3 linked regions of the Styela clava genome follow. The protein of the gene in region 3 binds, or shares a complex with, the protein of the main gene of each other region. Links are inferred from orthologs where the notes say so. Each region holds a gene or a part of one and is shown on either strand. Other genes may lie near its edges. The genes, in order: GATOR2 complex protein WDR59-like, nucleoporin SEH1-like and GATOR1 complex protein NPRL3-like.

Evidence for each region.
Region 1: GATOR1 complex protein NPRL3-like (region 3) and GATOR2 complex protein WDR59-like share a complex: the UniProt entries of both Drosophila melanogaster proteins name them as parts of the GATOR complex. The link is inferred for Styela clava from reciprocal best matches to the Drosophila melanogaster genes Nprl3 and Wdr59.
Region 2: GATOR1 complex protein NPRL3-like (region 3) and nucleoporin SEH1-like share a complex: the UniProt entries of both Drosophila melanogaster proteins name them as parts of the GATOR complex. The link is inferred for Styela clava from reciprocal best matches to the Drosophila melanogaster genes Nprl3 and Nup44A.

Annotation. Positions count from the first base shown.
Region 1 is NC_135262.1:4,861,116-4,864,874, reverse strand, and holds the start of GATOR2 complex protein WDR59-like, read left to right. Parts: upstream 1-890; 5' UTR 891-1,595; coding exon 1,596-1,631; intron 1,632-2,189; coding exon 2,190-2,375; intron 2,376-3,243; coding exon 3,244-3,448; intron 3,449-3,752; coding exon 3,753-3,759. Other genes in the region: uncharacterized protein LOC120332162, read left to right, coding at 1-620. UniProt on the Drosophila melanogaster protein: A component of the GATOR complex, which functions as a regulator of the amino acid-sensing branch of the mTORC1 signaling pathway.
Region 2 is NC_135251.1:17,064,671-17,068,429, reverse strand, and holds the start of nucleoporin SEH1-like, read right to left. Parts: upstream 2,436-3,759; 5' UTR 2,405-2,435; coding exon 1,332-2,404; intron 1-1,331. UniProt on the Drosophila melanogaster protein: Probable component of the nuclear pore complex (NPC). Involved in maintaining the localization of another nucleoporin Mgtor to the nuclear envelope of early meiotic female germline cells.
Region 3 is NC_135253.1:12,145,842-12,149,600, forward strand, and holds GATOR1 complex protein NPRL3-like, read right to left. Parts: upstream 2,916-3,759; 5' UTR 2,914-2,915; coding exon 1,243-2,913; 3' UTR 901-1,242; downstream 1-900. Other genes in the region: uncharacterized protein LOC120325627, read left to right, coding at 28-900; lysophosphatidylserine lipase ABHD12-like, read right to left, coding at 3,583-3,759. UniProt on the Drosophila melanogaster protein: An essential component of the GATOR subcomplex GATOR1 which functions as an inhibitor of the amino acid-sensing branch of the TORC1 signaling pathway.

The sequences.
Region 1 (3,759 bases), on a different chromosome or scaffold from region 3:
ATATGATCGTGGAATGGGATAAACGACTTACCAAAACAGCTGGTGTTACGAAATGTTCATCAAGAACTGTAACCTCAGTTGAAAACGGTATTCGATGTGTCAGTAAAACGTACAAAGCAATGATATCACTTTCAGAAAAGGTTTTAGACACGCTACATCGATTGCGAGATACTTTATGCCATGAAATGTGCCATGCCGCTGTATGGTTGCTCGACAATCAGAATGACGGCCATGGTCCTTATTGGAAAGCATGGGCTCGCAAAGCTACATCCGCACACCCTGAAATGCCAGTGGTAAAACGATGTCACAGCTATGACATCACATACAAGTTCCACTACCAGTGCACAACTTGTCGTAAAATTTACGGCCGACATTCAAAATCGATCAAAGTGGATAAACAAGCTTGTGGCATATGCCGTGGTAAACTTGTCTTGCTGCCACCGACAAAATCTGATGGCACACCAGCAAAAACAAGACAGCCGAATAAGTTTGCGATGTTTGTTAAGGAGAATTATAAAACAGTACAGCGGGCCAACTCAGTAGGAGGAATGACTCCGAAGCATTCGGATGTTATGAAGGCTCTCAGTGAAAAATTTGCTACTCTGTCGACTAAAAAATAAACTGTATAGATTCTCTGGTAGCTTATGTGATTATTCTCGTTCAATTGTCAGCATATTAATGTTATCTAAGGAAATTATTCCCATGCTTCATTTGGACTGGCAACTGGACAATAGGCTGCAGTTTGTTGTGTGATTAGGTCATCCTTCCCTCCATGGAATAAATATGAGAATTTCTCCTTTATTGTGATATTTCTTTTTCTTAATCAACTTTTTGTTGTCTATTGATATGTTTTTGTCCTTATTTTACAATTGATTTATCTAAGTAGGGTTCTCAGATACATTGCATCTGCCTTTAGGGATGTTATATAAGGATATTTTACAATTATTCTTTTCACATTGAATCATTTTTGTTCAGTTTCAAATATATGAATTGCTGAAAAACGTATGGAATATGAATTCGTAAATATTTGATACATGCTAAAATTTGTAACAAATTGGATGAAAGGATAAAAAGATCTAACATCGTGATATTAATTAGATGTTTTAAAAAACATTTCCTAATATTATTATTAAGATTACCATTTAAACTCTGCCTACTGTTTTGACTCATAGGTAGGCTACATATAGTAATGCTTTGTAGTTTAATTAATTTGTTGGTTTTAAAATCGTTCATCATGATTCTTACTCTCCTAGATGAATCATTTTATAGATGGATGGCAAAAGTGCTTTTGATGTTTGACACAAAATGACAATTCTTAGTAATATATATTTTTTTGTCCTGCTGTCTTCTCCATGTCTCTGTGTCTCTTGTTTCATATCGGCTTAATGATGCTAAAAGCTTGATGTTATTGTCATGTATTGTGTAGTTTTGTATTCAATATTACCTCAAATACAAATCTGACCTGACTGCCATTTTTTCATCTTTATAAGAAATGTAGGCAATATAACTATAGGTTAAATATTGGTGCTTACAAGCTGAAGGAGTAAATTTTAAATCATTTCCAGCATATATTTCAGAATTAAACACAGCTCATAATGGATGTCAAAACAGCACAACATCCAAATATTCAGGTAACCACATTTGAATACTTACAAGAAATCACGGTAATGTCAAATCAATGGCAGGCTTACTAATCCCATACCCGACATGGACTGGTAACCAGACGAGGGCTTAACCATATGGTTCGCCATATGATTAGGCTATCCTATTGGCTTCCCTCTCCCACAGGATAAATATGTAAATCCTATCTTGTGTAGTGAATAAGGAATTTATTCTTCATGGAATAAACAATGTTATCATTACCAATATGTAACTAAAAGCATATTTTGAGAACATTTTAAAAATGTGGTTGGGTATTTCTTCAGGTCAGTATAATGAGCCCTCAACTAAAATAGAAAAAGTAGTAATTGTAAGCTATACTGACAAAATAAAAACGGTACCCCCGTAGTCTGTGTTCGAGCTTAGGGTTAGGCCATAATTTTATTCCAATAGTTGCTCATAGTTTTCAGTCCTTTTACACAACTTGATGTAAAGTAGAAGAACAAAATTAGTTACGTCCATATTGGTACACACAATTCTGGAGCGCCATAAAAACTATACCAATCACTCTTTAAATGTATCATTTTCAGGCAAATGCCATGGCCGTGGATTTTGACGGAAGGTACTCAGTACTAGGGACTCGACGTAACATTATACTCATTGATCTAAACAATCCACAAGAAGTTGCTCGTCGTCTTAATCGACAAAGTAAATGGGATATTTCTCATGTTCAATGGAATCCATGCTTCACGAAGAAACAACATTTTGTCGCTACTGTAAGTTTGTTTCATAGCAAATCGTTTTTAAAATCTTGTCCAGAGTAAGCTTTTGCCACTTTCATTGTCTGTTACTTGTAAATTAATTTTGGTCTCCGCTTTGCATCATCAGATACTTTTTGATAAACTTCATATTGTTTTCCTGGCAGTATTGACTTGAGTTACTAGTATATTGTCATCTGGTACCTACTAGCATCTGTTACTGAATAAACCTTTTCATAGCTCTTGAGTGTGCCAAAGTGAAAATATGTACCTTTGTAAATATACCAGTTCTTGAGAATTCAAGTTGTACCAAGATTATAAATTTTAATTTGTGGTGATAAGTGAAGGATTCTCAAAAAATGATAATACTTTAATGTTCAAGCAATAGGATGTCAATGCAGTAATTGCTGATTCTCTCCGAAAAAAGAGTGCTACTTGTTTGATAATTGTTTGAAGCGCTTTTCTTTGTATTTTGATGATGTAGGGGTTTGAAATAAATATCAGAATCATGCACAGCTAGAAACATTCAAAAAAAATCCAAGAATGGAAAACAATGGTAGCTGACTCAAATTGGTTATTTTTTTCTATTCCAGAAACTCTCTATCCATGGGAACTTTTTTATTGTAATACAGTCAATGGGCTGATTCGATCCAGATTCGGTATTCTCAATTGTCCATCCCTATGCTCAAAGATCTTTCTTTTCTTTAAACTTTATGGATTAAGGAGTTGCAAATAATTGAATCTACGCAATGCTTCAAAGATTCAAACAACGCCTAAGATTAGAGAACAATGGAGGCTGAGTGGCTGACCCTGATATTCCATTTTTTGTTATTTCAACCAAAAACTGCAAAAAGTAATTCATAAAATTTAAACTCTTTTATTGCAGTACAGTCAATGGGCTGATCTATGGACATGGGATGAAGGTGCTGGATCTTTGCTTGCAACGTTACGCGGACACACTCGTGTTATTAGTGATGTTGATTGGTGTCCTTGTGATGATAATTTACTTGCAACCTGTTCCATCGATACTTATATTTATGTATGGGATATCAGAGATACAAAACGACCCAAAATGACACCTTCAGCCGTAGGTCAGATTTCGTAACTTTCGTTCGCTAATCTCTGATACAGGGTTACCAGAAATAAGCATAACCCAGGTCATCGAACATATCTTGAGAAAACATAACTTTTGTGCAAAGGGGTACAATAATATACAAACAGAAGTTTTAAGCGTTAAATAATTTTGTAAAAGTAATGAAAATTTATGGGTTCTGTTTTTTTGATCACCCTGTATATTACATTACCACATTTGTATATTATTGACATAAATTTTTCATTCAAAGTCAGACAAGAAAATATGGTTTGGTATTTATTTAATGATCCTTTTTTATTCAGCTGGTGC
Region 2 (3,759 bases), on a different chromosome or scaffold from region 3:
GCGGTTGCGCACTCGCATAGATTTACTGCGCACAGACCTATTTCGATGTAATGTAACAATGTTCTCGGTTGGCAGGTTGATAAAGTTTGTTGTTGGCCCACCCATTACCCGGTTAGAACGCTAAAATTTCTTCATTGGTATTTGCACAAATATTAGTCATTTCAAAAAAAGTGCGCACACACCAAAACTTCTGCGCACACATACTACAAAAAATTAGAGGGAACATTGATCATAGGTCATAATCTTCTGCGAAATGGCCACCAGTAATACTCAATGAAGTTGGAGTAAACTTACAGTTAATTCACACCAAAGCTGCTAGCACCTGTGAATCTCATGGTACCACAGTTTCCACTTCACAGCCTGAGCATATTATTCACCATGTAGGCCTGTCCTATACATGTGTTTTTTGGTTATATGTCAAGAAAAAAAAACAGAAAATCATGTCACAGTAATATTTTTCAATTACGATATGTCCAAGGCATCATGAATTAGTTGCGAATAGATAGATTAATAGCCCCAGTTGCTATTTCAATGGTCCCCTCTGTTAATTTAATATTTAGGCACTGACGATGATTAAAAAAAATCACTGATATCCTCGCATATAAGCCGAATACAAAGCTCAAAAAAGTTGCGAAACTAAGGGCTTATACGCGCATAACTCTAATCGCACTAAAAATTTGGCTTAATAAAAGCGCATAACTCTAATCGCACTCAAACGAAATGATATTATGCTAACTTAATTCCACTCAAACCATGCTAATTTCCTACCAATAAGGGCGTATGATTTGTAGGGTCGGCTTAAATACGAATTTTTTATAAAAATTCACCGCTGCTGAAAACGTCAATACCGATATGCCAACATTCCATAATAGACGACAATGCTGAAGGGCCTTTTTACGGGGTCGGCTTATATGTGAAATCGGCTCATATATGAGGATAAACGATAATTCTCAATCTTTGTAAGCCACCACTTTACCCTAAGCAATGTCTAGCAATCACCCCAAATTTGTGACAATTTCACTATGTATTGCCCTAGCAGCCTATGCTTGACTGAGATGAGCAATACTACATTACCAATCTAAATTAGTTCAATATGCAATCACAAATTTCACTTTATTTCTATATGTACAATTTTTTTGAATATAGCAAATACATAACCATGCCTCAAAATTATATAAATTATAAGACAAGATTATTGGGAACAAAGCATATGCAAACACTCAGAATTGCAAGTTTCGAATTGAATGAAATTAGAAAAAATATTTAAAACTTGCAAACATGCAGAATTTTATTAAAAAAGTTGTCCACCTCGAACATTTCCACCAGCATACCTGATAGTTTGTTGAGAATTGGACAGTCCTTTATCATTGGAGCTATTTTGTCTTGAAACATTGCTTTGTGTTGTTTTATTATCTTGCAAATTTTTCAATGTTCCAACTTTTCTCCAATTATCTAAATAATTAGCTTTCCAGAGATGAACTTTTCCATCATCTCCAGACGATGACAACACCGTACCAAGAACATTCCAACTAACTCTCCATACTTTGCTATTGTGAGCATCAAATTTAGCGACTTCACTCACAGAATAGCTAGACGATTCAGTTCCAGATGTTTTAGAATCACTCAAAAGCTTCATAACAAAAATATGAACACACTTTGACGCTACGGCAAGCGTGTGTCTCATCGCACCGTAATTCGGAGCAAATTCAATATCATTAACAGGATCCGTTATTGTCATTATTGTGTGAACTTTGACCCAATCACGATTGATTTCACTGTATTCATATATTAAAACCTTGCCGCCCACGGATGGGTTATTATCATCACTACCCACTGCAATCATTGAAGGATGTTTGTAAAAACTTGAGGGGTTCCAGGACAAACAACTGCAACCTAATTTCAATTTGATTTGATGCTGAACAGACCATTGAGCCAGATTCATAACATCAGGTGCTTCGTAAACACGTACAATTCCATCAGCAGAGCAAGTAGCCAGTTGTAGACCGAGATGTTTTGGAGCAAATTTTACATCAGTTACAGATGTTCGACTATCCACAAGAGACGATTTACGTATCCATGATCTATTATTTTTCAATGTTGTCGTATCAGTAACAATCTCTTCCCATACAGCAGCAGTTCTGTCAAAGGAACATGTTGCAAGCACTTGCCCAAATTCAGGGTGAGCCCAACATACTTTCCAGACTGAACCATTGTGAGTTTTCCAGCTGGAACTGCAGTACCAATCACCATCATCATCTAAATCCCATACTTTGACAGTTTGATCACTGGAACAAGTCGCCATACGCTTTCCATAATGATCGAAAGCAAGGTCATGAATAAGATCCTTATGTTCGGCATTGATCTTAATGGCACTAAATTCAGCTAGTGATTCTGTATCATCCATTTTAGCTATAAAATTACTACAAGTTGAGATATGTAAAATATAAATTTTGAGTAAATTGATTGTGCTTTCATGATTGTTCTGATTAAAATTTAATTTAATTAAAATTAAATTTAAAATTTGGGCAAATTTTGAGTAAATTGATTGTGCTTTCATGATTGTTCTGATTTAAACAGCCTCCTTGTAGCTCTTGGTACTGGCCACTTGGTATTCATTAAGAGATGGGTACCCGCGATGCATGCATGTCTTTAGTTAGTGGTTCAAATGTTTTGCATCATACTCTCATTAATTCAATTTTTTTGGTTGTGTTTTATTGAGACGTTATTTCAAAAAAATAAAAAAGGAAGTGATGCAATAATAATAGTAAACGGCAATGGTGTTAGCTTGTGATCAGTTTAAATGGAAATTATAAAAACAAAAAATTTCTGAAGTTTAGAACTCATAAATATTTTACAGCACTATCCGGCTTGTAGAATTGAATAATAGAGTCAAATAGAATTCTTTTTACACAACAAAAATCAATAGGTCTACTTCAGTGGTTCTCAACCTTTTACTGACCGCGTACCACTTCACTGTTTTTCACTATGGCCGCGTACCACCGACAAAGCTTCTTTTTTGGCGTGAGGAAAAAGACACAAGAAACGTGTTATTTAGTAGTAACGGTAGTATTTTATAATGTGGCACTACATCCTTTGTGGCGTGACACACAAAACGGACAAAAACATGCCCATATCGCTTCATTTAAGATGGGCAATAGCGGGCGATCTCTAGAGACAATGACTGATAGCGCACCAGCGCTATGTGGATGTTTCTCCGACCCTTGACTCCGGAAAATTTACCACTATACTTTACAATTGTAAACTTCATGCTTATTCTGAGAGTGCTTAGATGTGTTGGCGCATATAAAATGGTTTACGTGTTTGGAGTCATCATTTTTATTAAAATTAATCAACCATGTGCCGTTTGCAGGTACTGATATAGCTAGGGCTGCCATAACGTCCTTATTTCTAAGATTTGTCCTTATTTTGAAGGCCTTTGTCTTAGAAAAGAATTTTTTCCTTATTTCTAAGAAACGTCCTTATTTCGACATGTGACCTTATTTTACGGGTAGACGTTCTAATATCGGGCATTTAGATTGGTCAAATCGAATGATTGATTTGCTAGAAATGATATTTTACAACATCATTGATTGCTACGTGAATCCATAAGTAAGAACTGAAAAATAATTGACACAGTGACAAAACAAAAGCCTACCGACCAAAATCACTGCGTGTAACCTGAATTAAAATACAACTTGAAAGTGAGATGGAACAGATTTTTTCTAAGAATAAAGAACTGCTGGAGCAAATCCTTTGCAA
Region 3 (3,759 bases):
TGAAAATGTAGCTATAAGGTTCAAGTTATGGAGTCTAATTTGCTAGAATCACTGCCTAGGCATGATGTTCTGTATCATAATGTATTCAAGTATTTATCTATGATCGATTTATTCCGGCTACGTGCAGTATGTCGACAACTTCACAATATGATGGAGGAATATTTTTCTCAATGCCATCACATCCATATCAAAGACTCTGATGGTATAGCGGATGCTACCACATTTGAAATATTAACAAAAAGCAATTCATCACTCCGGACCATTGTTATCCCCAATATCGGAGATTGGATAGACGACAACCTTCTTGTTCCAGTTATAAATGACTGCCCCAATTTATCGATCCTTAATTTATCACAATGTAAGGGTTTAACAAATAGAAGTCTATGCATATTAGGAATGTACTGTGAAAATCTTACTCATTTACGTCTGAAGGGTTGTACATGGGTTGACCACGACAATTTTATGGTGTTCATTTCCAACAACAGAAAACTGAAACTACTGGATTTACAGAAATGTTCTTTGCTAGATGATGAATGTGTGGAGTTCATGTCCAAATGCTGCCCAAACTTGGAATATTTGAACATATCAGAAATTAACCAATTGACTGACCAAAGCCTTGACGCCATTGCAAAAAATTGCCGCAAGTTAAAGCATTTGGATATCATAGAGTGCTGGAAAATGACAGATTCTGGTGTAAAGATAATAAAGGAATATTGTCAAGAATTGGAGACACTTAATTGCGAACACTGTACTAGCATTTCCGAGGATACACTCGAGCCACTTCGTGTCAGAGGAGTTAGCGTAGACATTCAAGGACGCTTGGAAATAACTCTACGAAGACTGGAACATGTGATTGACTATCTTTCTCCTTTAGTTAGACAACTAAACCACAACCTGTAATTTTATATGGAGCAATATATATTAGTATTTATAAAGTACCATGGACCTGCATTTTTTTTACTATTCAAATAACAGAAAGTCGCAAATGACCACCAGCTACATAGAAAAGAGTATTCACTATTTCAATAACAAGCAGCGAAGCAGGTGTCTCTAGAGTTAATGGAAACGAAATGTAAGTTTTAGAGCTGGTTAATCATATTTTGAAAACTATATATTTCGATTAATGGCAAATTGATCATAAAATTGGGTACTAATTCAAATTCTTGCTGTTGATGTAGTTTCGCCAATAAACCAGTTTTCTCAAAATGTAAATTGTAATTGCATGCATAAAGTGAAGACAATCTATATCAAACCCATACAAAACGCAGCAGTAGTTGAATCTTCCCTTGAAGTTGTTAATAAAACAGGTGAAAATTTATCCAACAAAGCCAGCAACTGAGTTCTTGATAAATTTTCATTATACATTATTTCTTCCATGTGACAGTTTCCATCAAAATATTTCAACAAATTTACAAATAATCTCAAATCTTTAGCGCTATTGGATGCATGGACATCCATAATTGCTTTCCTTTGCTTCCAGGGCAATCCTGCAATAATTGAACGAGTCTCTGTATTTTGAATCGGAGGCTTCTGCTCGCTCATAGTAGACTGTTGGTCAGCCTCAACAGGGCAGAAATATATAAAAGTGTGCATTTGTATTAAAAACCGATGTTGCAAGAGCCAAAACACAACTTGAGCTAGCTTATCTTCTTCACCATAAAATAGTCCGTGTGGAGTTTGGAAATCACTAAGACGAACTGGTAGTGAGAAATTTGACAACACATCCACCATATCATGGTTGAACCTCATGTAAAAAGATCTCGCTGCTTCTGAATTTGGATTTAGTTCTGCTGATGGCGCAATAACATAGATATTTGAATCGCATAACGGATATATAATACACGCTTTACCCCAATATACCAATTGTGACGTTAAAGTATAAATTTGAGTTAGCGGCAAATCTGCATCAGATGCAGTACATTGGAGCGATTTTGTTGGTTCGTAAACTGTTAATAATCTTGTAAGAGATGGAGTATAATCATCTGGTAAAGTCGACCATATTTCCTTTTTGTCAAATATGAGAATGCCATGATATGGCCTTATTTTTTCTATAGCTTTTTCAATGAAAGAAACAGATATTGTATTTTGTCCATACGAAGCCATATTATGAACTTTGTGAGGCAAACAAAAACTAATATGTGTTGAATTGTTTACTTTAACAGACAGGATACCTGTTTGACAAATACTATTGAATATGATGTGAAGCTGGTCGGCCAGGTGGGATTTTTCTAATATAGTTTTATAGGCGTGTTCAGGCTCTGCCATACACTCAGATTCTAAGGACATCTCGTCATGCACTGACAGCATAAGCCTTGTTTCGTGGGTCAAGTAATCGGAACATTTTTCTTCAAATCGCAAGGCAAGACCAAGTTGTAGTGCCAACTCTTGGTACTTTTCAACTATGGTGTACTCCGCTACCGCTTTTAATACAAACACAATGTTGAATGACAAAAGTGTAGAATCTTCCTTTTTCTTACAACCTTCATGCTCTTTGATGTTTTGCCTATATTTTTCCAAAATATCAAACTTTGATAATACACTGCTGAATTGGTCAATAACCAAAGGGAAACCTACAAAACGGATTCCATTCGTCTTTAGGTCAAACTTTTTTCCACAAATCTTGGTGTTTCCAGGACTGAGTATAGTTGCTAGTAGTTCATCACTGAAAGAATCCAACTGCTCTGCTTCATTTCTTGGTGCCTTTTTTACATCGTCCGAATCATCAGACACTGACCCATGTTGCCTGTTTAGATGAAAAGTTGATGATGTCAGTTGTTTGTAGGAAGACAATGGCTGAGTATCACTTTGAGATTTATTGTATGGATATCTGAACAACAGCTTACTGGTTATTCTACTGCCATACATTGATAACATGATACTTAATGGTATCCATGGTTGATCACTTCCACTCATAACTGAAAACACTGAAAAAAATAATTACAGTATTGAGAACCCACTGAATCAAGTTTTTTTCTAAACAATATTGAGTAAAAACCCGAATTTCTCAGTAGAAAGCCCAGTCATAAAAGTACAAACACCTCTGACCAAAAAGTAAAGTAATGAAAAAAACTGCACCCTTTATTTACAAAATGCAGTTTGAATACAACTTTCATTATTAAACAGAGAAGTAATTTATTGTGACTTTGTTGTATGTCATGATAGGTGCATTTGCTTAAAAAATAATCCACAATGTCAAGTTACCATACGGCATATAACACAATTTATAAATTAGTACTAATGTCAAGCTGCTATAATTTTCAAAACGTTCAAGAGGTTTTCTGCACAGATAATGAAGTAGTTTAGCTTCGAAGAAATTTATTTTTTGAACTTTTTGGTTGAGATCACAAATCTTTCGTCAAAAGCTCTTGCAGCTATTTACAAATGGCATGTCACTCGAGTTGAGGAATGTGATCCATGTCATTTCTCTATGCCTGATAATCACAATATATGAAGAATCATGTTATGAGTCACAGCAAACTAGGGACATGCATAAATTCCACTTTGTATTTGGGTATATATTGATAACGAAATTAAAAAAGAACCATTTATGAATTTGAGCAACGAGATAGGCTTTTCCTCTGATCACAAAGTAACAACCCTGTCTGAATTGTCTTTGTCTGTTAAAAAGTTACTGAGTAATTGAGGCAACTCTGGTGCCTTGTAAATATCCATGTGCCCGTATCCATGAGATGCTTTAAACTTGACAAATTCAATTCTTTTCCGCCTGTCTGTTTGAGTCGCTTTGCTTACTGCAACATA